3 linked regions of the Danio rerio genome follow. The protein of the gene in region 2 interacts with the protein of the main gene of each other region in a biochemical or structural test. Links are inferred from orthologs where the notes say so. Each region holds a gene or a part of one and is shown on either strand. Other genes may lie near its edges.

What was found.
Region 1: the proteins of itcha (region 2) and ube2g1a form a complex in vitro, tested with the Homo sapiens proteins (2 studies listed by BioGRID). The link is inferred for Danio rerio from reciprocal best matches to the Homo sapiens genes ITCH and UBE2G1.
Region 3: the proteins of itcha (region 2) and junba form a complex in vitro, tested with the Homo sapiens proteins (2 studies listed by BioGRID, with this or other methods). The link is inferred for Danio rerio from reciprocal best matches to the Homo sapiens genes ITCH and JUNB.

The regions. Positions count from the first base shown.
Region 1 is NC_133180.1:31,599,377-31,610,024, forward strand, and holds the start of ube2g1a (ubiquitin-conjugating enzyme E2 G1a), read left to right. Parts: upstream 1-5,286; 5' UTR 5,287-5,404; coding exon 5,405-5,450; exon of another isoform or gene 5,451-5,976; intron 5,977-6,048; exon of another isoform or gene 6,049-9,058; coding exon 9,059-9,161; intron 9,162-9,569; coding exon 9,570-9,667; intron 9,668-10,297; coding exon 10,298-10,476; intron 10,477-10,575; coding exon 10,576-10,648. UniProt on the Homo sapiens protein: Accepts ubiquitin from the E1 complex and catalyzes its covalent attachment to other proteins. In vitro catalyzes 'Lys-48'-, as well as 'Lys-63'-linked polyubiquitination. May be involved in degradation of muscle-specific proteins.
Region 2 is NC_133181.1:60,216,240-60,226,787, forward strand, and holds part of itcha (itchy E3 ubiquitin protein ligase a), read right to left. Parts: coding exon 10,442-10,548; intron 10,129-10,441; coding exon 9,939-10,128; intron 7,045-9,938; coding exon 6,949-7,044; intron 4,912-6,948; coding exon 4,737-4,911; intron 2,357-4,736; coding exon 2,287-2,356; intron 1,932-2,286; coding exon 1,847-1,931; intron 1,009-1,846; coding exon 880-1,008; intron 677-879; coding exon 604-676; intron 1-603. UniProt on the Homo sapiens protein: Acts as an Acts as an E3 ubiquitin-protein ligase which accepts ubiquitin from an E2 ubiquitin-conjugating enzyme in the form of a thioester and then directly transfers the ubiquitin to targeted substrates.
Region 3 is NC_133176.1:55,052,323-55,062,362, forward strand, and holds junba (junB proto-oncogene, AP-1 transcription factor subunit a), read right to left. Parts: upstream 5,281-10,040; 5' UTR 5,177-5,280; exon of another isoform or gene 5,056-5,176; coding exon of another isoform or gene 4,954-5,055; coding exon 4,078-4,953; 3' UTR 3,729-4,077; downstream 1-3,728. Other genes in the region: prdx2 (peroxiredoxin-2), read left to right, coding at 219-301. UniProt on the Homo sapiens protein: Transcription factor involved in regulating gene activity following the primary growth factor response. Binds to the DNA sequence 5'-TGA[GC]TCA-3'.

The sequences.
Region 1 (10,648 bases), on a different chromosome or scaffold from region 2:
CGCATTCTCACTCTTGTTCATATTTTGTGCATTGATCTCTTTGCGAGAAAGGGGTCACGTTGCTTGTTTTTTTTAGGCGCTGGCTAATATCATTATGCCGGATGTACACCCTGTTATAACAGTGTTGCTAATAGCTTGATGCCATTTAAAAGCTACAATTTAGTCAAACTGACATGACAAATGTACACAGAGGCAGCACTTTAAAACTGATAAATATGCCAATAAATATGCTGGAAAACACTGGATAGAGTTATAATGCTGTTTGTTTATGTTCCAGTGTTAGGTAAATAGACATTATGATCATTGCTAAAGGGGAAACATTTATCATAATTCAATTTATAATCAATTCCTACCTTTTATTACAGGTTTGCAGTGTATTTCTTCCTCAAACTGTAAAATCTAATACACTGTAAAACCCAACAGTCAACTTTATCAAATGAAATGAGTGTCGTTTACAAAAAATGTACTGAAAGCTAATTCTACTCATTTGAAAATAGTTTTGAACTCAGTGTTGACGGTAATGAGTTAATTAAATACCTCATTACTTAAATGGACTAAGTTCACAGTACTCATATACAGTAGAGTAGTTTTTAACTCAAATGGTTTGTAGCAATCGGTTTCCTCAAACAGTTTGTGTTATTTACTCATTTGAAACAAGCAAGTAACAACAAATGCACATTATTACACCAGTCCCGGACATAACACAATGTGTGGGAAAAATGAAGAAGAAGCAGCCGTAGTGAGAGCATGCAAAACCAATGGGTGACAGGACGGAAATTATTGCCTGAAAAGGTGTAACAGCTAACGCCAGTACATGAGGAAGGAGACCAGAGTTTTGTTTTAATGGAAGCCAATAGCAGAGAGGCATCACTTTACAGAATAAACAGCTTTTGTGAGGAAATTTGTTTTAAGTTACTGCAGGCACTTGTTAGTACCTTATAAATCCTAATTCACCTAACTAGGTTTGGTTGCTTTTTTTAAAAGTAAGGTTTACTAATTGGATTTACAGTAAGAGTTTAAATGTAGGCCAACATGAAATCTGGGCTTGCAGAAAATTTGCAAATTCACACAGATTTTTGAGCCCATCATTCAATCTCTTTATTTATATGTGAATGTTTATTAGTTTTTATTTTAATTTCAGTAGTAATGTTAGCTATATGCAAATGTTTTGATTTAGTTAGTACAATACAATTTGTAAAATACCTTTTTAAGTCTTTTGGATGTATTACAGGGCTGACTGTTTATATATATATATATATATATATATATATATATATATATATATATATATATATATATATATATATATATATATATATGTCACCCATTGGCTTTTCATGCGCTCACTATGTCTGCTTCTTCTTAATTTTTCCCACACATTGTGTTATGTCCAGGACTGGTGTAATTTGTTGTTACTTGCTTGTTTTAAATGAGTAAATAACACAAATCATTCAAGGAAACGGATTGCTACAAACCATTTAAGTTAAAATCTTATCTAATATATATACACTTTCAGTCAAAAGTTTAGGGTCAGTTTTTTTTTTTTTCATTTTTTTTTTAAGAAAATCATTTTGTTCATCAAGACGGCAATTATTATAAAATGTTAAATTGTTGAATACTTATTACTTTTTATTTATTAGCTGCTTACTTATGTAGTTTCAAATGAAGTTATAACTCCAGTCATTATTGTTTTTATAACTATTAATACTATTAATAATAACTACTACAAATATATACTATAATATTAATAATAACTACTTTTCAACAGTTATTTTATAGTGCCATAACGTTTCACAATCTTACAGTTCGTACTGTATTTTTGATGAAAAAGTACAGCCTTGATGAGCAGGAGAACCTCATTTTAAAACATTTTTAAAAATTTATATTTTTATTTGTTAGTTTTTCAGCTCCTATGCTCTCAAAATCTATCTGCATAAATCCACAGATCTTTTCCACGAAATTCCATGCAGAAATACCAAAAAAGGTCTGGTCCTGACATGCTATTAAAAAATTATAAAAAGCGTCTATGTTATAGTTGCTGTAAAAACATGACTGCGGATATACAGTAGATGCAGCTACTTGGCAGTGTGCACATTTCCTGGTAGCAAATTCAAGGCAAATGATGCCTTTTAATCATAATTGTCTTTCGGGGGAGGGGGATTTACACTACAAGACACCTACAGTTTATGAGAATGGAATGTAGACCGGAACTTGTTATCTTGAAGATGGTTGTGATCTTGCTGGTTGCACCCAGCAAGCTGTCTCGTTTCCATCCTAACCCACAAACTGGTGTTATTTTAGACCTATGATGACCCTATATTAACACAGGAAGAGCACTTTACTTTAAAATGTCTTACCCACTGACTGACTCTTTAAACTGAACTCATATACATGTGTTTTACTCACTCATATCAAATTATGAAGAAAGCTTTTATTTTTCATCAGACTTCAGGGTTCAGTTCAGGTCTGAGATCCTCAGCGGACTACCAACAATGCCACTGTTGTGATGTTTATCAGAGTATGACCACAGCAGGACAATGCCATATATTTGTTCAGCTTTTGACTCAATTTGGAATGAAGCAGACTTGACAATGAGACTGATTCATTTTTTGCATCATAACACCTCGACTATTTTCATAATGTAAATGTAAAATGACTTACGCTTCAGCTTATGTGCTCCAATGTCTCTTCTAATCCATCTTTTCTGTTGTCTGTCTTTCTTCTCTCACTTTCTGTCTTTTTTCTGTGTTCGTTGAGATGTCACAACAGAAATGCATTCCTGTGTGAGTACAGCACGCTGCAGGGTTATCAAGTTAGAATCAAGCCCCGCCCCCTTTCCTCTGGTCACATGCAGATGAACAGTTCCTCCTTGTTGCATTATACACCACAAACCCGTAGATTTTCATCTATGCACTCACATCATGCTTTCTGCTTTGCATCGATCTGTTACCCAGTTTTGCCAGGGTGTTTGGCATTATGTTTCAGGCTAATGTTCTGAACACCAGGACAAAGGTCTTGCAGACAGAGCTGCTGGAAAATCCACACCCGTGAGGGAACTTTCTCAAATGGAAACCTAATCTTGTGTTGTCTGATAAACTCTGTAAAGTTTATGGCTTTTTATGTAGTAGATTGATCATTCCAAGCTATAATCGGGTGTGCTGCAGTACTTCCCACTCTACAGTTTTCAATTTATTTATTTTTCTCATGGTTGCTTTTTAATTTAAATGAGAAACTTGGCGAAACTGTGGTGCTTCCATTATGATGCAAATGTTGCCATTCTTGTGAAATTCTCTGCCGAACCACTTCTCTAAAACAAACAGTCATTCATTGTAGCACACGTAAAATATATTTTACAGTATGTAAAATGGGCGACACGATGGCTTAGTGGTTAGCACTGTCACCTCACAGCAAACTTGCTGGTTTGAGTCCCGACTGGGTCAGTGGGCATTTCTGTGTGGAGTTTGCATGTTCTACCTGTGTTGGCATGGGTTTCCTCCAAGTGCTTCAGTTTCCCTCACAGTCCTAAGGCGTGTACGTGAATTGAAGAAGCTAAATTGGCCGTGGTGTATCTGTGTGAATGGATATTTCCCAGGACTAATTTGCAGCTTGAAGAGCATCCGCAAGTTGGCGGTTCATTCTGCTGATGGATAATGGGACTAAGCTGAAGGAAAATGAATGAATGAATGAATGAATAAATGAACGAACGAACGAATGAATGAATGAATGAATGAATGAATGAATGAATGAATGAATGAATGAATGAATGAATCTACATATACACAATATGTAAAATTTTTACCTAAAACCACTGACCTGTCATCATGTCTTTCGTGTATTTCAAATAATGATTAAATGTTTTGCATGTGTGTTGTTGCATGCACTATAAATTATTATTTGATGTGGGTTGCCATAATAACAAAGTTTATGGATTTTGATTAAATAAACAAGAAGTTAGACACATAATAAACTGAAATTAAATTAGAGTCACTATTCAGAACATAATATCATTTGCAAGCCATTTATATTTAGTTGAAAGTTGTTGTCATTGAAAGTACAGCGGTATTCAACCACAGTAAAGACTAAATAAGACAAAAAAAATCATGTTTAAGGTCTTTATTGTGCAGTTTCTCTGACAAGATGTACACTGCAGGTCAGATATTTGGGGATATTATGATTTGTCAGGGTTTTTGAAAGTCTTTGCTGTTCATTGATAATGTAATTGATGTAAAATGTAAGAAATTGTATTTATTTCTGTAATTCGAAACATTGTCACTCCAGTCTTCTTGAATTATTTTGGTCTTCAATCATTACTACTGGTTCTCATTTTATCAGTTCAGAACTAAATGTTTCTGCTAATTTTAGTGGATATTTTAACTTAAAAAAAAAACACACACACATACACACACACACACACACACACACACACAATTGAACTGAAGTATAATGTTTTGAAACCTAAATATATTTACTGTCACATGTAATTAATTTAATGTATCTGTGAAAATGATTTGAATTGTGCTCTTACTCTTGTACTCTTAATATACGACTGTTTCCATAAAAATAAATGAACATTGATAACAATCAGAAAAAAAATATATTCAGCAGCAAATCAGCCTATCAGATTGATCCCTGAAAGATAATGCAACACTGGAAACAAGTAATAACAGCAGACATTTCTGCATTGACTTTGAATTAGTCAATTGACTTTTGTTTGAAAGTCAAATTGAGAAGTTGTTTTAACTAAAAACTGCATTTCAAAGTTTTTATTTTTATTTTACTTTTGTCCTGATGAGCAAAAGAGACGTCTTTCGAAAAAAAATGTTTTCAAATAAAATGTTTTTATCACGCTAGTAAGAAATACACAACCAAGACGTTAAAGTGTCATGAACGGTTATGAGAGCTGTGTGTAAGTGGATGATTCTCATAAGGATCGCCTCTATCACACATTTTGACTTTTATTATTACGCTGTACTGTCTCCTAGTGGTTGAATGACACTGTACTGTCCTCAACAATCAATTTTCTCTAATAAAAATGGCACTTGCGAAAAGAAAAAGCAATAATAAATGTATGATTACAGATTTTCGCTATAACGAGACAATTGATTAGACTCACCTACAACGTCACTAAAGTGATAACATAATTAATCTCGCAGTCAATGCCATCGCCGTTTGTTAAAAAACAAGCATATTTGTTTCTGACATGCGCGAATCCTCCGCCCATAAGTACCCTGGAGCACACTCTCGCCGCGGCCTCGCGGAGAGCAGAGCGCATGCGCATACCGCATCAGAATGTTGAGCAAAACGGACTAGAACAGAGACGGGAAGACGCGCAAGCAAATTCAAACATATTTTTTCTCCTTGTCGAGGTGAACGTCTGTCGACCTAGAATATAACTTATAAAAACATGACGGAGCCCCAGTCAGCACTGTTACTCAGGAGACAGCTAGCAGGTAATATTTGAAGGCTGTTGGCGAAGGCAGGCTAACAAACCGGTGAACGTTTTAGCCAGCCAGTACACCCGAGACGGAGCATTTTAGCCGTTAGCCGCTAGTTTAGCCGCTAACAAGCGCTGTGTTTATCATACAGCATTAGTTAGCATGTTAGCAGCTAAAATAGCCGGCTAAAGGCAAGCCCCGTCGTCTTTTGTTATTTTAAAATGCTAGTTTTGTACTACTCTTGCTAAAATATCAACATGAGAGTTTTTCTAACATAATTAAAACAACAATACGCGCACGTTTGTTTAGTGTTATTCGGTTTATTCATGTCAACATAAGTGTCAGTCACTTTTTTCCGTATCACACCGGCGGGGCCGCTCTCGATCGGCTACCCCCGTGTTTTGACATCTGTGTCCGGACGCAGTTTCCGCAAGAGAACCAGTCATCTTATAAATGGAGGAAAAGTCTGTCATTGGTCCAATTTCTGCTCACTGTCTTATCGTTGTCCGTCAAACCAATAGTATTATCGCACGGTTTAAAGGTGAGATTTATAAGCCGTATATTGTGTGCCATTACCCCGCATCGGGTTGATCAAATCCCTTTGTTTTTCTAGGCTGGCTAGCAGGCTAAAGCTAACAAATTGATGGCTGCTGTTTGATCACCAGCTCACCGGTACAGCGAGAACTGGAGACCCATAGTCTCTGTCACCATAGACCTGTGCGGGAAATTGGCTCTTATTAGAGTCGTTATGAGTGTTTCCTATTGTTCTATGCCCAGCACACACACACTGAGCAATATGATCCGCGAGTGTCAGCTTTACTGAGCTCAACCAGAGGAGGATTTCTCCACTGGGCCCCATTTGCGCAGTGCAGCCAGTGAAGTGAGTTAGTTATAGGGGTCAAACTAGGCAGATTACCTGAGTTTGGGGGTCTGATGAGATCAATTAAAAAGCAAAACAACAGATCTGCTACATGACAGCTGTCTCTTTGCCACAGACAGCTCAAGCAACCCCATCCCCCCAAATTACTCATCTTACACACACATAAAAGCAACTCGCTTGTTTCTTTCCAAGGGTCGCAGGGTGAGCGGCACCCCGGGCCTGTCATGGCGTCAGGTTCTGCAGAGGCCCTGCGCTTGATTGACTGATTCAGGGGGTCAGGGGCTGTTTTGGTTGTCTCCTTTCAGAAGAACCAGCATGGTGAACTCATCAGCCTTGATCTAAACTCAGTGAACCCTTCGTGAGAACAAAAGCCTCACAACGTTCATTAATGTTGGCCCGTAAAAGATACGGGCCAGGAAAATGCGGGCACAACTTGTGTGATGTTAATGCCATGTGTAGAGAGGTTTTTTTTAGAAATCACTCAAAAATTACCTTTAATTTTTTACCCACCCCAAGCTATTAAACATGTTTTGAGACTTTAAGTTGAAAAAAAATTAAGGTTTTGGGTAAAAACATTGCAGCGTCTACTAGAGCCGTGTGATTAATCGAAATCTAATTGCAGTCACCATTTGAAATGTTGCGATTAGCTAATCACAAGAGGCTGTAATATGAAGATATATTTGTATATTTTTAATTCATTTATTTCCCGTCCAGAGCAAACGCGTGACTGCGTTTTTGTGACAGTCTTACTAGACAAATTAGTGAGCACAATTGAGTGATGAGTGTCTTGCTAAAAAGTCAATTGAAAGTATTGCCAGGGACACTCAATTTAGTAGCAAGCAACAGCATAGTACAACTGCAGAGTTGTTTCAGACATGTTAGTTTGCTGAGTGTTTTTTTTTTATTATTTATTATTATTGTTTGTATAGTACGCTACACTATCTCGCTAACTTAAGTTGAACTTGTTTACAGAAAGTTAAGGTCATTTGATTTACTGTTCTATCTTTGCATACTGTTTCATCTTTTTGTTTACTTTTTGTCCTGGGAGAGAGGTTGGCTTTTCTAGAGAAAAATTTGTGTTTAATTTCTAAATATTTAAAAATAAATTTGATTAAGTAAGTTAATATCTTTTCTGTTTCTTTTTTTTTTTTTAAATAACGCTCACTGCATTTTTCCTGAAAATTTAATACAACTACCAAATGGTTTAGTTGAACCCTGTTCACTAGCATTAGATGAAGAGTTGTTTCCTTTTCCCCAAAACCTTGGCTGAAGAAAGTCAGTCATACACTGGTTGAATGGACTGCAGGATAGTAAATAAATTATGTATTTTTTTGCCTTCAGATAATGTTCTGTTATTAAAAGCACTACTGTTATGTCACTTTATGCGCATGCTTTTGTAACTTGTGGGTTTTCTTTGCCTGTCAAGCTTTTTAACATACATTGACAGGAAATTCTCTGAAAGTGATTCCAATGATATTGTATATCTGTGGTGTTATTGTTAAATCTGCTGTGTGGACATCTCTCTTCTAATTGAATTTGAAGGGTTGGTAAACCTTTCTAGTAGTGGCTGTCATCCATTCTTGGTTTGAACAGCCCTTTATGCTATTTGTGTGATTGTTGCTTAGGGCTGGTCGATATGGCAAAACTGCAATCTTGATAATTATTTTGCATATTGAATGATAACGATGTATATTGCGATACCAGTTGTTAATGCTTCCAGATTTAAAAGAGTATTCCAGCAATGACTGAAGCCACAAAAATTAGAGGGTCTATTAAATGGCATAGCATATTTTCAGCCGATACTTTTTCAGTGGCAGAAAATTTTGGGACATCTCTAACATCAACACACTTTTAGATTCTCGTTGTTGCACATTTCTGTTGTGTGATTGGCTCTTAGATCAATATAGAGTAAAAAGTCCAAAGCTTATCATTGTTATTGACACAAACTTCATCGCAATTTGATATAATACAGTTTATTGGCCCAGCCCTAGTGTTGCTATAATAACACTTCAGCACTCTTATATTGGAAGTAGGTTTGTTGAAAATACAATTGAGTCATTTAATAACCATCAGATAGTGGTAAAAAGGTGGCTTTGACAGAAGAGACTCTTCATATGAATGCCAGACTGTCTTAGTGATTCATGTGCAAAAATGACACATCCATATGACTGGATAACCCAACTGTCATCTTGTTTATGACTACAAGGTGGTCATGCAGTCAACCTCCAGATATTCTGTTGTGCTCCTTCTTGCAAACACACAGAAGTTCAGAGTATCTGAACAAACAGACAGGCGTTCTGTGACTAAAGAGTCGCTCAGCTGATCTGATAACAGACAGGCAAATTGGTCATTTCTTGTCTGAAATGTTGCCCAGATGTAGGTCTAACTATCAGAACTCATGTGAAGGCATGTATGCACCTACTGCCCTGAAATGCCCCAATTTGCCCTTTGAGTAGTTCCATGCAATTGTCAACCAAAGTTTTCACCAAAATAGCCAAAAGTATGATCACATTCATAAACCTCATGTTTATTTTCCTCATTTAAAATATGTTTACAGATTGATATTTTCTGAGCCCATGACACTGTGGTTGGTTGTTTTGTAAAATATAAACCGATGTTTCAATATAATATTAACTCATACTTTCTCTGTGAATTTGTTTTACGTTTTTACTGCAAATGTCACATCTATAACACTTTTCTGTACAAAGTGGCTAATTTGTACCTTGATGTCTCTTCCTGACAGAACTGAATAAAAATCCTGTGGAAGGTTTCTCAGCCGGTTTGATAGATGATAATGACCTCTACAGATGGGAAGTACTAATAATTGGTCCTCCTGATACACTCTAGTAAGTCTTTTTGTTGTTTTATAAAATGTTATGTTGTGTGACACCTCACCAAAATTAAATTATTATCAATCAGCTAAAGAATTAGATGATGCAAAATGTAAATTGACATTATTTACTTGTGTAGAGCTACAGTATAGGTATTCTCACAATCTAAGATGGGTCAGGTCAAGTTTATTTCTTGATCTTATACAATCTACAATGCGCCAAAGCTTTATTACATGGTAATACACAGTGTATCAGGCAGGTAGCAGTGCAGTTGTAGTATTAAGTCATGATGCAATGGGAAATTAACTGAATAAGTTTATGTATTTGTTGTGATGCCATACTGAATCAATTTAAGCTGTTGCCTTTCATTTAAAGGTTGTTCAATCACAGTATTATAAGCCTTTTATATTTTTCTGTTTACAGTGAGGGTGGTGTCTTTAAAGCCCATCTTACATTTCCCAAAGACTATCCTCTCAGGCCTCCTAAAATGAAGTTCATTACAGAAATATGGCATCCAAATGGTAAGTTTGCCTCCTAGGGTCTTTTAAATATTTAATATATTTTAATTATTTATACTTTTTTACTATTTTGTCAGCCATACATTTAATATCGTTGAATAAATACACAATTTTTTGTGTTTTTTTTTTTTTAGTTGGTTGGAGGGATGGGTTGCAGATTTCCAAAAAAAATCAAATATGAATTGTTCTTATAAATCCTTTTGAATCTCTGGCTGATATGGAAACTGTTTCGAATTTACACTGACAGACTTCGTTATAAATTCATCCGCATGCAGGTTTTTGTTTGTTGATTCCATTTGCAGCATTGTGGATATTTTTGATCCACTTAGGAAATATCTAATAATCTGCCAAACCTAAATACTGACATGCTCTTTATTAGGCTAATAATGACATGAGTTTTTTTTTTTTTTTGTCATTTTGTACAACATTTTAAGTTCTATATGTTTCTGAAACATTTACATTTTATTATTTGCTAGCTATTATAGTCATGTAATAATCCTTCAGCCACAATACTTATCTTTATATAATATTACTATGTTAATTAAATGATCATCATCAGCAAACAAAAATGGTTAATGTGGTATATAATCCACATTAAAATCTCATGTCCTGTCTCTGTATTGTTCTGCACAGTTGACAAGAATGGTGATGTTTGTATTTCGATATTGCACGAACCCGGGGAGGATAAATATGGCTATGAGAAACCAGAAGAGCGCTGGCTCCCCATCCATACTGTAGAGACCATCATGATTAGCGTCATCTCTATGCTAGCAGACCCCAATGGAGACTCCCCTGCCAATGTTGATGCAGCAGTAAGTATAACGTTAACTTGTAAAACCAGATATGATTGCATGTTGGCAGAAGATCTTTACTTCATGTGTTAATTCATTTTTATCTGTTCAACATTTCAGAAAGAGTGGAGGGAAGACAGACATGGTGAATTCAAAAGAAAAGTTGCCCGCTGTGTAAGAAAGAGCCAAGAGA
Region 2 (10,548 bases):
TTTTTTATTACTATTACCGATAATAATAATAATAATAATAATATACATTATACATAATAAAATAACAACAATGATAATTAATATTAGAGTGATTTATGAAGGATCGTGTGACTCTGAAGACTGGAGTAATGAAGCTGAAAATTCATCATTAAAATCCCTAGAATAAATTATTAAATGAAATGAAAAACTACTTTTGAAAAGTTATTTTATAGTGCAATAACATTTCACAATTTTACAATTTGTACTGTATTTTTGATTAAATAAATGCAGCTTTGGTGAGCAGGAGAAGCTTATTTTAAAACATTTTAAAACCCTACTGACCCCAACCTTTGACCGGTAGTGTATGTATATTAGTCATTATTAAATGTTAATTATCATTTTTATATGATAAATAACTTGCAAAAACTCACAACTTCTTTTGGAAGCAGACTGCACTGTCCCCCAATAATTTACAATAAAATGACTTAATTCAAGATTTTAAATTAAAGTTTTAAGCATCGACTTCTTAAATGAAACATCAGAGATTTGAAGACATCAGGAGATATTAAAACAGCTTTATAAAAAATCATTTTAAATTAGTATAACTCCTCCATGAGGTCTTACCTGACACCAGAAGCGGAAATAGTGCACTTTGGCTTTAAAATCTCGTACGTATGTGATCTGAGGGCCGTTCTCACTGCAGGTCCACAAAGACACAAACAGACAGATGGTAAAACACCACACACAACCTCACTGCAATGCATCAGCACTGATTAAAAACAAAACAAAACAACATTGAACTTAATTTGTACACTGAAACAGGAGCGTCACTGTGTAAAATCAACATGCTGAAGGTTTTAAAAATAAAAAAGTTTTTCTTATAATAATATAAGAACTCACAGCGAGGATTTTCCTGTACGGGGGTCTATGTATGTTGTAGTTCTTCTGTTGTGATCCACAAAATAGGGAATCCCATCCACTGTAAACCTCATTTCCCAACCTTCCGGCAAAGGCTTCTCATTTAGCAACCTGACAAATTAAAACAATTAATTACAACAAATATAATGCTTATTGCCTGCTTGTAAAAAAATATAAAATAAATAACAAATAAATAACAATAATAATAATATACAGAAAGGAGGAAATTTGGTTAATAATAATAATAATAATAATAATAATAATAATAATAATAATAATTATAAAACAGAAATTAGGTAATTTAGTTGCAAAAAATGTATAATAAAAAATAATAATAATAAAAATTATGATAATAATAATAATAATAATAATAAAAATGATATTAATAATAATAATAATAATAATAATACTAATAATATAAAAAGATAAGGAATAAAAAATATTTTAAAAAACTTGATTAATTCAATATAAAACTTACAAATGCTGCCATGGCAACTAAATGAAATTTAAACATAAAAAATAAAATAATTTAAATTGCAATAAAACATAATACATTGTCTGTATTAAATATAATTAATATCTAAAAAAATGCAGCAAAAATACTAAATATCTCACAATTTCAATCAATTAAATACTGAAAATATAAAAAAAGCTTAATATAATATTAATATGAATGAAAATTAAAATAATAGTACATTGAAATGAACATAAGCTTACAAATTTATAAGCAAGCACAGAATATTAATAAAAAACTTTAATAGCAATAAAACAATAAAAAAACAATACTATTTCAACTATTAACAAAAAAAATGACAAAAGCATGCAACAAAACGGCTAAAAATTGAACTAAAAATAAAAAAACATTGTAAATATTTATAGAATTGCAACAGTATATAAATATTAAATAGTACTGTATAAATATATTGCGTGCAGCTCATAATGATCCCACCCTTGTGTGCGAGGGTCTTCCCATTGTGTGGATCTTGTAGGATGGTGAACAAAATACATCCTCCTATTACTGTCGGTACGTTTCTCTGTGAGCGAAACAAACAAACACACACACACACACACACACACACACACACACACACACACACACACACACACACACACACACACACACACACACACACACACACACACACACACACACACACACACACACACACACACTTAATTGTTTTTGAGTGACTAATCCTGATTAAAATAACACGGCATCCAAATAATCACAAATGATTGAATCACACATTATGTTTCAGTGTATAAAGAATGTGCAAATAGATAACGTCCCAAAATAAACACACACAGAGAAAAAAAAAGCCAGTATGAGCTGCTCTATTTTAAGGTTGAAATGAAATTTCCTCTTTCTGCAGCACAAAACAGACTCACCCCATCCTGACGGCAGCGGTCCCAGAGGGTCAAACTCTTTATTAGCTGTCGGCGCGAGCTGTTCCTGCAGCTGAAGACATGAGCAGAAGGAAAGAACAAGAGCAGATGAAATACCCTCAGCTAAGGTCACAGAGGTGATTCTTTTTATTAAAAATCATCTAAGGAAAAAACTCAACATCTGACTGCATGTCCTGTTACAACTGTGTCAAAAATATTTCAGAAATTCATTCAGAGATTTAAAAAAATTTACTGCTATTCTCTCTCGAATCAAGTTTAGCTTAGTGGTTAACAGCAGATGGCGCTCTAGGCTAGCTTTTAACAGCAGTTGGCGCTCTAGACTATATTTTAACAGCAGATGGTGCTCTAGGCTGGTTTTTAACAGCAGATGGTGCTCTAGGCTGGTTTTTAACAGCAGATGGTGCTCTAGGCTGGTTTTTGACAGCCGATGACGCTTTTGGCTAGTTTTTAACAGCTGTTGGCGCTCTAGGCTAGTATTTAACAGCAGATGGTGCTCTAGGCTGGTGTTTGACAGCCGATGACGCTCTTGGCTAGTTTTTAACAGCAGATGGCACTCTAGGCTTAGTTTTTGACAGCTGATGATGCTCTAGGCTAGTTTTTAACAGCCGATCCCTGCAGAAAAATCCAGCTTAAACCAGCCTAGGCTGGTTGGCTGGTTTTAGCTTGTCGACCAGGCTGGTTTTAGAGGGGTTTTGGCCACTTCCAGGCAGGTTTCCAGCCATTTCCAGCCTGGTCTTAGCTGGTCGGGCTGGAAAATGACCAGCTAAGTTCAGTTAAAACCAGCTTGACCAGCCTGGTTTAAGCTGGACATAGCTGGTTTTGGCTGGTCATCTCCCAGCCCGACCAGCTAAGACCAGGCTGGAAATGGCTGGAAACCAGGCTGGAAATGGCCAAAACCCCTCTAAAACCAGCCTGGTCGACCAGCTAAAACCAGCCAACCAGCCTATTCTGGTTTAAGCTGTTTTTTTCAGTAGGGATGGTGCTCTAGGCTATTCTTAAACAGCAGATGGCGCTCTAGGCTAGTTTTAAACAGCAAACGGTGCTTTAGGCTAGTTTTAAACAGCAATCTAGGCTACTCTTTAACAGCAGACAGTGCTTTAGGATGGTTTTTAACAGCAGATAGTGCTCAAGGCTGGTTTCTTTACAGCAGATGGTGCTCTATGCTAGTTTTTTTAACAGCAGATGGCGCTCTAAGCTAGTTTTAAACAGCAAACTGTGCTCTAGGCTAGTTTTAAACAGCAAATGGCGCTCTAGGCTACTCTTTAACAGCAGACAGTGCTTTAGGATGGTTTTTAACAGTAGATGGTGCTCTATGCCAGTTTTTAATAGCAGATGGCGCTCTAGGCTAGTTTTAAACAGCAAACAGGCTCTAGGCTAGTCTTTAGCAGCAGATGGTGTTCTAGGCTGGTCTTTAGCAGCAGATGGCGCTCTAGGCTGGTCTTTAGCAGCAGATGGTGTTCTAGGCTGGTCTTTAGCAGCAGATGGTGCTCTAGGCTGGTCTTTAACAGCAGATGGTGCTCTAGGCTAGTCTTTAACAGCAGATAGTGCTCTAGGCTAGTCTTTAACAGCAGATGGTGCTCTAGGCTGGTCTTTAACAGCAGATGGTGCTCTAGGCTAGTCTTTAACAGCAGATGGTGCTCTAGGCTAGTCTTTAGCAGCAGATGGTGCTCTAGGCTGGTCTTTAGCAGCAGATGGTGCTCTAGGCTGGTCTTTAACAGCAGATGGTGTTCTAGGCTAGTCTTTAACAGCAGATGGTGCTCTAGGCTGGTCTTTAGCAGCAGATGGCGCTCTAGGCTACTTTTTAACAGCAGGCAGTGCTCTAGGCTAGTTTTAAACAGCAATTGGCGCTCTAGGCTAGTTTTAAACTACAAACAGAGCTCTAGGCTAGTTTTTTAACAGCAGACGGCGCTTAAGACAGTTATTTAACAGCAGATGACACTCTAGGCTAGTTTTAAACCGCAAACAGAGCTCTAGACTTGTTCTTTAACAGCAGACGATACTCTATGCTAGTTTTTAATAGCAGATGCCACTCTAGGCTAATTTTAAATAGCAGATAAAGCTCTATGCTGGTCTTTAACCATGAACTCAATTGCTCACAATGAAAAGTGCTTGTACTTTGCCTGAGTAATGAAAATTGGCTTCTGTGCCATGTGATTAATATAAAAACAACTCACTATGAACACTCTTGTAATTTGCTTAAACGTTTCCTAACTTTATTAATAATTGTTTTAGTTTCAAGTGGTATTTGTAAGCAATTGGATGCAAGCAGAGTTTGGCTGTTTGTAAAGCATACAGCGCCATTTGTTGGTAAAAACTAAGTTCAGAATTAATTCAAGAGAGAACAGCAATGCATTTTGAAAACCTCAGCACTGATTTCTTGAACAGTTTTTTTTTCTCGCCACAGCTGTAATGTCTACTCCACATGAACTCACGCCATAGATGAACCTCTGGTTGAAGCGCTGCATGGCTCCCTGAAGTTGACTGCGCTGGTTCTGCCATTCCTCATAGTTGCGCACCGACTCTAGCGTGGGTCTCTGCCATGTGGTGGTTCTGTTTATATGATCCACATAATACACACGGCCCATTGGGTCTAAACGTCGCTCCCAACTACAGCATAAACACACAGCATTCTCTAAATAACATTGTGATGATGAATGTCTACAAAATACATGAAAATCAATAAAAGTAACAAAATAAAGACTTAAAGTAAGCTTAAATGCTGTTTTAGGAGTGTGTGATATTTACCGCCTGCTAAATGAATATGGTAATTGTTGCTTTAACAATGTGTGAATTTTTAAACGACATTTATACAAGCAGCGTTGCCCAACTTTCTGTCTAAATAAATAAATACATAATTACACACTAAGTACAATTACAAATTAAACACCAAATACTTACTTTACTTACAATATTTACAATATACTTACCACTTTAAGTATACTTACTTTACTTACTTTATTTACAATATTTGCAAGATATGCAGATCAATAATTCGACAAGCAAGAGTGCAGTTTTCCAGAATATCAGCGCAAATACAATGTCGCTTTTAAGTTTCATTACCAAAAATAGCTCTGCACAAAGGCTTTTGTTTGTCTTAATCAACACTCTACTGTTTAGTTCCTAAATAAATCGGTTTTAGAACAAATAATTTAATCTGAGAAATATTGCTAAATTACGAAGTATGCTATCCATCTCAGATGCAGAAAAGCTATTCCATGCCTTTATGACTTCTAGGCTGGATTACTGTAATGCTCTGTTTGCTGGCTGTCCAGCATCATCTATTACCAAACTTCAATTAGTACAAAATGCAGCTGCCAGAGTTCTTACCAGGTCTAGAAAATATGATCATATCACCCCAATGTTATCCTCCTTACACTGGCTGCCTGTTCAGTTTTGTATTGATTTTAAAATATTCGTTCTTACCTATAAAGCTTGAAATAATCGAGCTTCTGTTTATCTAACCAACCTTCTGTCTCGCTACAATCCAACCCGCTCTTTAAGATCTCAAAACTCAGGGCTTCTGGTAGTACCTAGAATAGCAAAGTCGAGTAAAGAAGGTCGAGCCTTCTCCTTTATGGCTCCTACACTCCGAGGCTAAGAGACACTCTCCCAGTCCAAAACTAGATTAAAGACCTATCTGTTTAGTAAAGCATACACTCAATACATCACTTAGCGGGTTTCCACACAAGTTTCTGCATCTTGTTCATGTACACTATGAACAGCAGCTATGCTAATTATTCTCTTTATTCTCCATTTCCACCTGGGGATACTCATCCCGAGGTCCTCAGATTATGTGGAGTCACTGATTGGATCCAAGACCAGCGATGAGATGATCCCAAGGTTTCCATATCCGGGACCAGGCCGTGTCCTGAGCAGCTGCTGCGCTGGTCATGGAGGAGTGGAGAACATGAAACTGATTCCAGTGATGCTCCAGGGACAGACGAGTCTTCGCTGAGGCCAGCATCCAGCCTCCACCGCTGAGACTGCAGCTCTGCACAAGACTTTTGGCCAGCGGAGAAATCAAAATGGTGGTGCCAATGGAGGCTGGTTTCTCTCAAGTTTTTTTTTTTCTTCACTCGCCAATCGGTCAAGTTTTTTTCCCTCTCCGCTGTCGCCTCTAGCTAGCATGGTTTGGGATCGGTAGAGCTACCCATCGATGAATTTGCTCTTCAGTGTTTGGACTCTCAGTAATGATATTAAACTACACTGAACTGAGCTAAACTGAACTGAACTTAAACACTAAAAACTGAACTACACTGTTCCAATTACTATGACCATTTATGTGAAGCTGCTTTGACACAATCTACATTGTAAAGCGCTATACAAATAAAGCTAAAAGCTAAATAAATTTTTAACAATCATATTAAACATATTAAATGATTATATGATCAGAAATATCCAGCAAATAATAGCAAGATTTCATTATTTGTTATTATCGCACATCCTTTTGCTGTCTTTATTTACTCATTGCTCAGATGCTCTTTAAAACGTAATTATTTGAGAGCTTGGACCTGGCTTAAAAGCAACTCTTCAGTATGTATATTAGTGTCTTAATATGCACATAATATGTAATGTTTAGTATGCAAAATACAACTCTGATGAATCTGTTAAACTGAAAAGCAACCTCTGAGGATCACTGGTTACCCTGGTGGCAGAGGTTCAGGTCTTTCCCATGTGGTTCTTTTCTCGATGTGATCAACATAGTAAACGCGTCCGTTCTGATCCGCTCTCTGCTCCCAGCTATGAGAAAACACAAAGAAGAAAATACAATACAGCCAACATATGTGATGGATTCTTCAATTCAATTACTTTTCAACTTAAAAATGATATAAGCAGTTATATTGTTAATGTTACTTATAATTTACTTGTTTTAAATACTGTCAATAAATTAAACAGTTCTGTATAAATAAATTCAGAGGGGTAGGCCTGTCATGGCATCTATTTTTTGTTGTTCAATATATTGCGATAAACAATATTATTGTCATTTAAAGCAGCGGTTTTCAACTGGTTTGGCCATGGGACCCACATTTTCACATGGTCATCAAGCCGCGACCCAAATTTTTATATATATGTAAATCCCCACTTTACATATTCGGGGTCCGACTTGCACTGGAATTTCACATGTCAAATGGGACGGTTGTCGCACGTGCATTTCAAAATAAAAGTCTGATATAAGCAAAATAAGTTAAATTTTAAACTTTTGTTGTTTTTTTTTATCACACACTCACACCCACTGAAAATGTTTCCGAGACCCACCAGTTAAGAAACACTGATTTAAAGGCCATTTTATGCCACTTATTATATAATGCCAGAATGACAATATATGTACGCTATATATTTTGCATAATACAAGTACACTGTTCCAAAGAACACGATATTTCATTCTTAATAATATATTATATTTAATTATAGTCATTTTAACAACATAATAAAGAGGCAGTGGAGTCAGAATATGAAAATGCATATCCTAAATAAATAATAATAAATGTTAACAAAAAGTGTGAGGTAAAAAGTAACTGAGGCTGCGATATCTGCGACCAGATAAATTTTTTTAGCTGTCAGACACCCACCTGAAAATATACTATAGTAATTTACAGTAAATACTATAGTGTTTTTAACCCTACTGAAACCTCTAATAGAGACAGAGGGCCCTGTCATACAATCGTTGCAGGGCGCGAGACAATTGTTATTTGCTAGTTTCAGCTCGGAGCAAGAGTCAATTTGATGTTTTGCAGTCAATTTCGCTGTTTAAATAGCAAATGTATTTCCACCCATAGGTGTTCTGGTCTAAAAAAGGAGGTGTGTTAAAGGGCACCTACGGTTAAAAAAATCTACTTTTCAAGCTGTTTGGACAGACATGTGTTTATATATAATGTATAGACCGTCATATTGGGCTGATATAAACATACCCAGTGCTTTTTTTTTCAATTTACCAACATAAAAACGGTGGACCAATTGGAGCGGTTTTCAGAGCGACCGCAACTTGACGTAGGAGTGCGGTCCCCCCGCCCACCAATATTGATTGATAGGCACGCGCCCCTTAATCCTCAGTTTGTCGTTTTACGTCCGCCATTTTCAGCGTGAGTCAAAGCGACGTCACTAAAGGAACACCCTTGCTCTATTTTTAGATGTAAGGCTCATTGGGCTCAACACAAGACCAACATTCACCACTTGATCGCTCTAATCGGAATTATTGGTTGTAACTTTAGGTAGGTTTGCAAACGTGTACTTTTCATTGAGTCTACCTTAAACTTCAGCTGTTCGCATTTCTCACAATCACAGAAGCTCCCTGTGATCTTAGGTGCAGCTGGAAAAGTGCAAGCGCGTTGCCTCATGTGCGCATCTCTCCATTGGAAATAAAACAACAAACTTGCCTGCAGGTCGCACACCAGAAGCTCCGCTCTGCATGTTGCAACGCTGACGCAACGCCGTGCATTTTGGAATTCTGGGGGTGAGTTTCTGTTGGGGTGCACGCAGACAGCCGCCAACTTGGAGCACCGTTGTGTGTGCACCCTGATGAAAACCTGTGTTTAGAGTTCTAAAATGTGTGGCGCGACGATTCGGGACACTTCATGTTTCTGCCGTGCCACAGAGAGTGTCTGTTGTGCCGTGTCACGGCTTTGAGCGGCTCATCCGGTGTCTCAGTCAAAGTTTATTGAGTGTGCGTGGTTATTAGTCTAGGTGTAAAAGCTTTGCACTTGAAACTAGAACACAGTTGGCTGTAAAACTTGGCTGTATAGAGTTTAGTTCAGTACACAAATGATTTTGTACTGATGATTTTGGTCTGTATCCGAGTCGTACATGTACGGCCGAATGCTGATCCTCTCACTCCTGCTCCTTCTCAGTCTGCCTGTCTATTGAGCGGGTGAGCTCTCGACTCCGCCCCCTTGTTACGGTAAGCGGGAAGTCGAAACTAATTTTCATGTGAAGCAACACACCCCTAAAACAGCGTGCTGTGTACACGCCCACAACATGACACTTTTGAACACATTATAATAAACAAATCTGAATTGTGTTTTAAACTGAATCTAAAGTGGCACACTCAGAACCATAATACTAATATTAAATCATAAAAAAGGGGTAAACTATGTGCCCTTTAAGGCGCATTGCTGGCTGATTAGAAATTTGCGTTAACGAACAGTTAGACAGGTGTACCTAATAAAGTGGCCGGTGAGTGTATATTAATATATTGCTTAGAATGTAAGTGCCATTACATTAACAAATTAAACTTAACATTACAAATCAAATACAGTTTGACTGAAGTTAAAAGAATTTAGAGTTTAATTTCTATGTGTTAAGATTTATGTGGATTTATAGTATTTAGTCAACTAATAAAGTTACTTTTAAGTACTTATTAAATTAAAGTTACTTTTCAGAGAGTCATTATAAAAGCAAGTGAAATACAATTTTATTGATGCAATTACTATTTTAAAGTAACCTAATACTAAATCTATCAGCTAATAGCTAAATCCCTGCTTACACAGTAAATTTTTTATTCTCGTTCTGACATGCAACAGGAGATCTGTCAACTAAATATAACAATTAAATTAGAAAGCAACTCATCCAAACTGATGAAGAAGTAAACACACTGAATTTAATAAGCGCTTGTATTAGACTGTATTTGTCTGATGTACCCTGGAGGAAGAGGGCCGTTGGTGATGGCTGGAGCTCTGGGTGGTGTTGGACTGGCTCTGGGTGCCTGATTTGAGCCTGAGCCCGAGCTTGACCCTTGACTCTCGGTTTCTCCATTCACACACACTCGTGGAGACATCTCTGGACTGGGAGCGCTGCTGCCGTGAGTGGGAGTCGAGCCAGTAGAGGATGCTATAAATACGACAATAAAGTAATCAGACAACTCAGCCTGGACTAAACTCATTTTGCCAAACGATGACAATATATAACGTAGGGTTAGGAGATAAATTTGGTATCAGTATTTACTGACTGAACACTATTGTCAATATCGATTAAAAAAAAGTTTGGTATGAAGCGCTATAATTTTATTAATATATGGCTGCTGAGCAACCGCCTTGGAAGGTATGTCTATAAGCTTAGGGTATACACGTGACGCAGGTAACCCTAGTTGAAAACATCTACATTTTTCTGATCCTATTTAAACTGCTAAGAAAACATCCTCTACCTGTGGAGGAAGTATGTTTATGTGGTGAAGCAGGCGGTGGTCTCTGGGGTCGAAGGGGACGCGGTGCTCTCAAAGCCCCAGTGGATGGAGATGCAGAGGCGGAGCTT
Region 3 (10,040 bases), on a different chromosome or scaffold from region 2:
TTGAATAGAAATCAGTTATTTTTAATTGAAGTATGAAAGTTTTTTTTTGCATTTAATATTCGTAAGTTCAGCTTTGTGAACATTATACAAATATTTAAAGAACAGTAGAAATCTTAAAGACTCCCTACTTTTTGAACTGTAACTGATGTAATACTTTATGCATGACACAAGAGGGCGCCAAAATCACTTATTATAACTTCTTATGCTTTCTCCTTTAGTTTGTCCTGCTGGATGGAAGCCAGGAAGTGACACCATCGTTCCCGACGTGCAGAAGAGCAAGGAGTTTTTCTCCAAGCAGTAACAGTCTCTATTTCTGCATTCACTGGGCTGTTGAAGCACTTAAATTCAGCCTGAGGGGGTCTAGAAAAGTTGATTTAGCCATCGTAACAAACACAGGTTAAATGCACTAGTTAGTCTGATTTCTGTCTGAAGAAGCCGTTTCAGCCCGCGTCTCTCATGCACTGAAATATCTGTAGTTTGTGTTCAGCTAGTTAGTCTGCATTGCATATTTGGTACTCTGTGAACATAGCTGGTTTTAAATTCTCTCAAGTTGTTGGCATTCTGGTGATTTTGTCAATATCTCTGTTAAATAAACAGGCTGTTATTGCTGAATGTTGCAGTTGTCTTATTGTGCTTGCTACTTAATGGATGGTTGACCTCAAATTAAACATTTAATTAGTTTAGAAGGTATGGTAATGGCATGGTAAACCGAATTTTAAATGCAGAAGGACACAGTAGTGTTTTCTTCATGTTTTAATATTAGAATTATAATAGATGGAACAGAATTTGAGAGATAAATGCATATCATGAAATTGCATGATAATTCATGAAACTAAACCTGCGAAAACAAATTTAATAAATAGGCAAAAATTAAATGAGTAAATAAATCAATAAATTCTTGCATAAATAAAACCTTAAATAAATATCCAAATGAGTGTATTTTAAAATTTTTTTTAAAAATGTTGCATAAATAAATATTGAAATGAATAATAGTGTGGGTATGGAGAACAAAACCTGCAAAACAATAAAGAAATATGCAAATAAATGAATAAATAAATACATACACATTCCTGCATAAATAAAACAATAAATAAATACCTACGCAAACAAATATTTATTCTTGCATAAATAAAACATTAAATAAATACACAATTAAATGTATAAAATCTACAAATTTGTGCATAATTAATAGTAGTTTGAAAGGGGGAGAAATCCACGTTCAGTTAAGCATTTTCTTATTCCCCCAACATCTGTGTAATTTATTTTTAATCTGCCTGTACTATTTAAACAATTATTTATGCAGGAATTTGTGTTTTATATACATTAAGTTATTTTTTGGATATTTATTAATTTATTGCTTTGTTTATGCAGGAATTTATTAATTTATTTACTTATTTATTTGGCTAGTGTTTTATTTAGGCAGGACTTTGGGATAAATTTGCATATTTATTGATTTATTGTTTTATTTATGCAGGAATTTGTGGATTTATTATTTAGTTAATTTGCTATTTATTTTTTATTTTATTGTTTTTGCAGGTTTCTCCCTTTCTCCCTCCATAGTATCTTATATAATATTATAATTCAATTAATAGTATAAATATACATTTTACCACCCCTATAACGGTTCATACCATTGTGAAGGCAAGCGCGCCAAACACTCTGTGAGGAAAAAACATTCACTCGACGATAGTCTGAAACTGGCAGGTCTTCAGCAGCTACAGACATCGTAAGTGTTTAAAAGACACTTGTTTTAAGTAGAATATATGTTTGTGTCTGTATATAACTTAAAACTAAAGTCAATTGAGTTATATAGATTGACCTAAAGTAACCCCTGAAACGACTAATCGAGTCACTATAAGTTAGAATACGCTAAATATCCTTTAAAACACTGAAGACTTATGTTTTATTATTAAAATATACGTAATTAAAATGAATATATAAAACATATATTATTATATAAATATATAAAACAGACATTTGATTCACTGAAGCGTGTAATACGCTATCGAACATAGGCCTAAATGATTCACACCCTGATTAAAATGCTTGTTTAAGAATATAAAGTTATTAAGATTAAAGGTAGCAGGCGAAGTCAAACGTATTTTCTCTGATAATGACATTACAATATTTTTGGTGGAAGTCAAAATTAACAGAATATTAACAAATCTGCCCTGCAGGTGGCAGTGTTTCATTATAGTTAGGACAGAGTTACAGCTCTGGAGTCCTCATTGATTCAGCTGTAATGAAGCAGGAATCACTTTTCTACATAAACCCAAAACAATTTTAATAAATATTTGGCAAATCTCGTGTTCAGGACTGAGTGAATGTGTACTTGCTTAAACAAGTGATTCGTAAATTCTGTGGTTATTTTACACTGAATTTTAAACCAGCTCAGACATAAATAGTAATTTAGTTAATCTCCTAGAATTGTCTTTATTGCTTAAATCTGTAATTTTGTTTACAACATCCCCGTGTTTTCTTATTATTTAAAGGCCAGGGCTCATTTCTGTGTCCATGAAAAAGGTAAATTCTGCCTTAATAAAATGTTATACTTTTTTTTTTTTTTTTTTAAATATAACAGATATTATAATATAAAGTGTGCCGTGTTATTATCCTGTCATCTCAAGCTTTACCTTATTCATTCACTCATTTTCTTGTCTGTCTTGTCCCTTTGCTTTACCTTATTTAAAAATCTAAATGTTTATAACGTGTATTAGCTTGGTTTCAGACTATGGTGACAAAAATGACCACTACAAAACTAAAAAATATGCTAAAAATGTTAATTATTAACTTCATATGTTGCCAGTAAAAATTCCTGGGTTTAAAATGTTGACTTGGCTCTTTAAAATGAAAGGCTATTTTATAATCTAGAAACTTTTAGATTGATCTTTATTGTGGAATAGGGTACTTTTCCAGATGATTTTGTAAAAGAAAATATAATAGGCAAGATGCCTTCTTTTAAGAAGAGATTTCTAACACTGCATCGCTGCGAAAACATTTGAAGTAGCTAAGTGAACTTTCTACGGCACAATTCAGTGTAGATGTGTGTTTATAGTCTGTGAGGAGGCTCGAAACAACCATTCATTCAACATCTGAAAGGTGTAATTAGCATAATGGACAAATAACCCTCTTTTTGTCACCTAAAATCTAAGTATTTTAGGAATTATTCAAATGAATTTAACATTTTAATAAAGGGTTGGCGTTTTTAATGGCCAGTTCGGCTAATCTACCGCCTGTGTGTTTTCGGGAAATAGCTGATAAAGGAGTCACTGTGGGCACTTCTCGTTTATAAGCCTTGCTCTTATATTTACTGAGATCTGTTTGTCTATTTTTGTGCTTGCGACGGCTCCGTTTTCTGCAAAGTACCTGGAAAATGCCCGTGCTCATATTTTTATCTCTAGTTTTCTTTTCGCTGAAACTGTTTTGGGAAGGTTTGTGCGCGCGGGGAAAATCCCGCGTTGCTAAATTTTCTCTCGTTCACACGCGCTCCATTCATCGAACGTCAGAGTTGAAAGCGCGCGGACTTCCTGACCGGTAGCGTGGGCGGGGGTTCCCGAAATCTACCCTTAGTGACGTACATAGACCAAAACTGCCCATATATGGGCCTTGCGTCAGCAGGAAAAAAAAAGCCAACGTGGGCACGTCTTCGACGTAACTTTAAAGCCGTAGGCTACAGAATAAACTTTGTTTCTGCTCTACGCTTGAAATAAACAACCCAAACAGTAGAATCATTTTCAACATTTTTACTTAAATATAAAAAATAAACAAAAACAAACAAACAGAAAAACAGTTAAAGGTCTGGCTCAACCTGACTCACAATATCAATAACTTACTGGAATGTTTTCAAAGGGCAGCACTTAACAACAAAACCAAAACTGTTCACTTCAAAAGTTTAGTCCATTGTCCGTTCGGCTGAAAGTACCTTATCTTTGGAAAACAACAATAACATTAAAGTTTTCTACAAGAAAACACTTAAGAAATATACAACGCTCGTACTCAGTGCTGCGACAATAACATCATCACAAACAGGATCTGCTCTTCCAGTGTTTCCCAGAGTCCGTAGCATCCCTCTCCCCCCTAAAACGACTTGATCTTCGGCGTCAGCATCAGCTGGCACCCGCTGCTCACATGGGTCATGACCTTCTGCTTAAGCTGAGCTACCTGCTCCCTCAGCAGGGACGCAGTGCTGGACAGTCCGGCGTTATCCGACTTGAGCACTTTCACTTTGTCCTCCAGCCGGGAGATGCGCTCCAGCTTCCGTCGCCGGCACTTGGTGGCCGCCAGTCGGTTCCGGAGCCTCTTGCGCTCCGCTTTGATGCGCTCCTGGTCCTCCATGTCGATGGGCGACATGGGAGGAGAACCATCGCTGCTCTGCAGGTCGGGGACGGTCTGTGGCTCCTCTTTCAGAGTAACGAGCCGCTGCGGATGGAGCGAGTGCTGGAAGTGATGAGGATGCGGCGTGGGCTGGTGGTGATGGTGGTGGTACTGCTGGTGGTGGTGATGGTGAGGCAGGTAGCTGATGGTGGCTGTCGGGTAGTTGGCTGCAGGTGTGAGGTTAGTGTTAGGATTGCAGCTGTTCAGGGTGGTGTACACCGGAGTCTCGGGCGGTAAGGAGGCGCCGAAGACTGACGACGCCACCGAACAACTCGACACCCCGGGGGCTCCGATGGACACGTTCGGCGGGGGCATTTGGTTCATTTTGTGGAGCTCGTCCAGCGCTTTGACGAATCCGTCCGCGAAGCCCTCTTGCTCCTCTGTGATGCTCCGACCGTACAAATACTGCCCCGGCGTGGGTGATGTGATGACGCCGTTACCGTTCTGGATGATGAGTCTCTCTAGCTCCGGAGAGGCGAGTTTCAGCGAGCCCACGTCTCCGGTCGCCGCCGTGTAGAAGTCGCTTTCGGAGCGGAGGGTCTTGAGGTTCCGGTAGGGTTCGGCGAAGCTCACGCTCATGTTCTGCTTTAGGAGCTTGTAGTCGTGCAGGGCAGCGTCTGGATGACCATAAGCAGAAAGAAACGAGTCGTCATAAAACGGTTGCTCCATTTTTGTTGACATGTGAACAGAGATTACGTTGGGACGTACTGAAGCTGACTAAAGTCCGCAAGTTCTCTCCGTTATATTACATCAGGCAAAAGAGAGCAAAAAAAGAAGAAACTTCCAAAATAGTTTACTGTACCAATTCGACAGGTGTTTTCTCTCGACAGCTGACGTCCAAAAAGTGTCTTCCCAGACGGTTATTTACAAACAGCTCTTCTGGCCCGTCGCGCATTCAGTATCATGATAAGTGCGCCTTCATTCTTATATACTCCAAATGCTGAGGGCGTGGCTGAGATAATCGCGGCCGCTGATTGGACGAGAGTTCGTTCCGCTCCTCGAGCTGTCAGATGGGTTGATGACGTTGTTGCCAGTAAGCGCTGAGATTGAAAACAACGCTGGAGGCGAGAGAGCAAAGGGAGACCGAGCGCTGCGCTCCTATTTTTGTTTCCACAGACAAGAAGCAAAAACTGGCCGCAATAGCTCGGCACTTTTAAGAAAAGTTTCCCATGGCCATGAAAACAGAAACACTACTGTGGTCTCTTGAGAAAAACACTACGTTAGAGGATGTCGTGTGAATAATAATAATAAACATTCTTGTCGAAATGGAAACAAAAGGTTCCAACACAATACTGTGATCTCCGTAGATCTGAAGCAGAATATACGAGGAGCTCTTTAATATAAACGAAATTGGAATTTATTTTAAATGTCAAGCTCTAAATATATTCCTTTAATTTAGGTGGAGCATCTAAACTGGCCATTTAAGTAAATACAGGATTGCAGGATTGAGATTGGGGGATTTCAGCCCAAGTTAAATGTGTCTGAGCTACCACATCATCTCGTCAATGATCAAGAGAAGCTCTATTAAAGGGTTAGTTCACCCAAGAGTTACAATTCTGTCATCATTTACTGACTGGATTCAAACCTTTCTTTATATGTTGAACACTGAAGAAGATATTTTGAGGAATGCTGGAAACCCATTGACTTCCATTGTGTTTGTTTTTCTTAACCGTTAGATTTTTTCAGCTTTCTTCAAAATATCTTCTTCATTGTTCAACATAAAAGTTTTGAAGCAAGTAAAAGGTGAGTAAATGATGACAGACATATAATTTGTGGGTGAACTATCCCGTTAATGTGCTTTATTGTTAAACATGCTAGGAAAGGCTATAGTGAGTAATATAAAAATAAAAGTAATTAAGAGAATATCTAATACAGATTCATACAAGGGCTTATCAGCTATTTGAATTGGACTGCTTTTTAAGTACTGAGTCATATAACACATAAAACATGACTAGTAATAATAATAGATCCTTCTCATAGAATTCACTGTAAATAAAAATGTGTTAATGAACAGTTACTGTATTTAGTGATTCACATGTGTGTTTTCTGTTTATTTATAGGTGTGAATTGCATTATGGGATGTTGATATCTGCTCTGTCGACTTTTAATGTTGAAAATTAAACTCTGCAGTTGAACAAAGTGACTTTTATTGACATTTTTGTCAACTTTATCAAATGAAATGAGTGGAGTTAACTCAAAATTCACTGAAAGTTAACTCTACACGTTCTTAACGTTTAGTTATTTCTTAAACCCAATGGTTGAGTTAAACATATTTGGTGCTTTGTTGGGTTATTTTTACCCTTTATTTGGTTATTTAATAATAACTCAACCAGTTGGGTAAATATTTGATGTTTTGTTGGGTTACGTTTAACCTTTATTAGGTTATTATATAATAACTCAACCAGTTTGGTAAATATTTGATGTTTTGTTGAGATATTTTTTAACCTTTATTAGATTATTTAATAATAACTCAACCAGTTTGGTAAATATTTGATGTTTTGTTGAGATATTTTTTAACCTTTATTAGATTATTTAATAATAACTCAACCAGTTTGGTAAATATTTGATGTTTTGTTGAGATATTTTTTAACCTTTATTAGATTATTTAATAATAACTCAACCAGTTTGGTAAATATTTGATGTTTTGTTGAGATATTTTTTAACCTTTATTAGATTATTTAATAATAACTCAATCAGTTGGGTAAATATTTGATGTTTTGTTGGGATATTTTTTAACCTTTATTAGATTATTTAATAATAACTCAATCAGTTGGGTAAATATTTGATGTTTTGTTAAGATATATTTGAACCTTTATTAGATTATTTAATAATAACTCAACTAGTTGGGTTAAAATTTTGAATTTCCACAGTCAACTGATTTAACTGACACAGAAGAGCTGTATTAATATGCGCAAGTAATGTTGTTTTTGCGTTGTGAAGTTTAAGCTGTAACATAATAATATTGTTATTTTTTATCAAATTACTCTCTGTGTCATGTTTTTTATATCAGTTTCACCTGCCATTCTTGCCTTTGGGACCCAGCGGAGAGATTCATTAATTTTCACAGCCATAGTTAGAAAATAAAAGTAGTACTTCAATAGTAATAGCAGAATGGAAAAAATAACATTTAATTAAAATAACCCAATGCTTTGGGTTAAAATAGCCCATAGTTGGGAAGGTGCTATAATAACCTATAGTTGATTTATATGTTGGGGTATTTTTAACCCAACTATTTTAACAGAGAACTCATTTGAAAATAGTTTTGAACTCAGGGTTGAAGGTAATGAGTTAATTAAATACCTCATTAATTCAACTTAAATGGAGTAAAGTGCTCATATTGATTTGTTTTTTAACTCAAATGGTTTGTAGCAATCAGTTTCTTCAAACGGTTTGAGTTGCCTTAACTCATTGAGTTTTGCAGTACTCAGTTGGTTTGAGTTCTCTTCATTTATTGGGTTTTACTGTGATCAAATTGCTTCGTTTACTCAAATGGAGTAAGTTCACAGTACTCATTAGGATTAGTTTTTGAACTCAAGTTTGTTGCAATAGGTTACCTTAAATGGTTTGAGTTACCTTAACTTTTGGGGTTTTACAGTGTAGTTTGAAATAATATAATGAATAAGAAATAATATATTGAGAGAAATAAATCAAAGAAAATGTACTGGCAGTTTATTACGAGGTTTTTGTAACACAATATACAACACCAACCCAGACAATATATCACTTTAAACTATTAGAAATGTTAATAAAGCCACTTGTTATGGCTAAAAGTTGTTGAAAGAAAGATCCCATAATGCAATTCAAAAGCTAAATATGTAGAAACATAAAAAAAGAAACTGCTGATGTTTTACACTAGAGATTTGTACTCTAAAGTATAACCTGTAAACATAACTCTGCATTGATCTGGAATGATCTGACTCAGGATTTGGCAACTGATATGAGTCCCATATATGGGCAAACCGCAGTGTAGTTCCTCCTTAGTGTAGGACCGGGAAACCTCTCCCATGTGGGCCTGATTCCAGCGGCGACGCCCCCGCACATGGAGCGCTGGAGGAGGGGAGAAGGCTGATAGATAGCAGCACGTACACAACACTCTGGCGCAAGAGTGTGAGATTCAGAGAGCACGTTCTTCATTTGTTCTTTATCTGTTCTTCATCTGACATATTAATGCAGACTGCATGTTAGTGTAGTTGTGCCGGTCTCTCAAACTTGATGCATGCACTCTTAAAAATAAAGGGGGATTTTCAGTGATGCTGGAATCATTTTGATAATAATTATAATGATACTATTGATAATAAAAGTGATGATGATGAGGATGATAATAGTGACAATATTAATGGTAAAAATATTAATAATATAAATATATAATATAGTAATATAACAGTTATAGTGATATAATAAGAATAGTGACCATAATAATATAGTGGTATTACTACTACTATTGACAATAATGAAAATAATATTAATAATATTAATATTAACAACAAAAAGTATTTTGAAAATAATATTAATAATAATAGTGCTAATAATAATAATAGTGTCAAATAATATTAATAATAATAGTGCTAATAATAATAATAATAATAATAATAATGATGATAAATAATATTAATAATAATACTGCTATTAATAATAATAATAATAATGACAAATAATATTACAAATAAAAGTGCTATTATTAATAATATTAATAATGACAAATAATATTAATAATAATAGTGCTATTAATAATAATAATAATAATAATAGCGACAAATAATATCATTAATAATAGTGCTATTAATAATAATAATAATAATAATAATAATAATGACAAATAATACAGACAAATAATATTAATAATAATAACAGCAACAATAATAACAACAACAATAATAGCAATAATAGTATTAAAATAACAGTTATCATATATTAATAATAATAATAGTGAAAATGATAATAATAATATTAGCAACAACAAAAGAATAACAACAATAAAAGTGATAATAATATTAAAATAATAGTAATAATATGCTAATAATAATATAAACAATAATGTCAACAAAGATAATAATGACAACAATATTAGTGATGATAATGTTGATAATAATAATAGCAACAACGATCATAATAAAAGCAATAATAGTGATAGTAATGTTAAAAATAATAGTAATAATATATTATTAATAATAATTTTATTAATAATATATTAATAAAATATAGTTTTATATAGCACCTTTAAAATAAGGCAAGTTAATTTATGTAGCATATTTTTACATGATAATAATTAAAAGTGCTTTAGATAAACAAAAATTAACCATAAAATACAATAATTATAAGAACTGAAAAAATGTAAAGCATTAACGTGATTAAAAACAGATAAATAATGTGATTAAACAGGTTTAAAATGAATATATTTTTAAAAGTAGCATCTTAAAAAAGTGCTTTACATGCATGAAAACTAGACTGAATACAAGCACACTATAATAAATTGCAAATAAAAATCACAAATCGCATAAAAAGTTATGCTAAAAAAATAATATAAGAAAATTGTTCTTTAAAAACCAAAACAAAACACTTGCTTTCTTTTTGTGCCTGATTAACTTTATAAAAAATATAATAATTAAAGTATAAGCATACAGGAAAAAACACATTTTCCCCTGCACAACCCCCAACCCTCTATACAG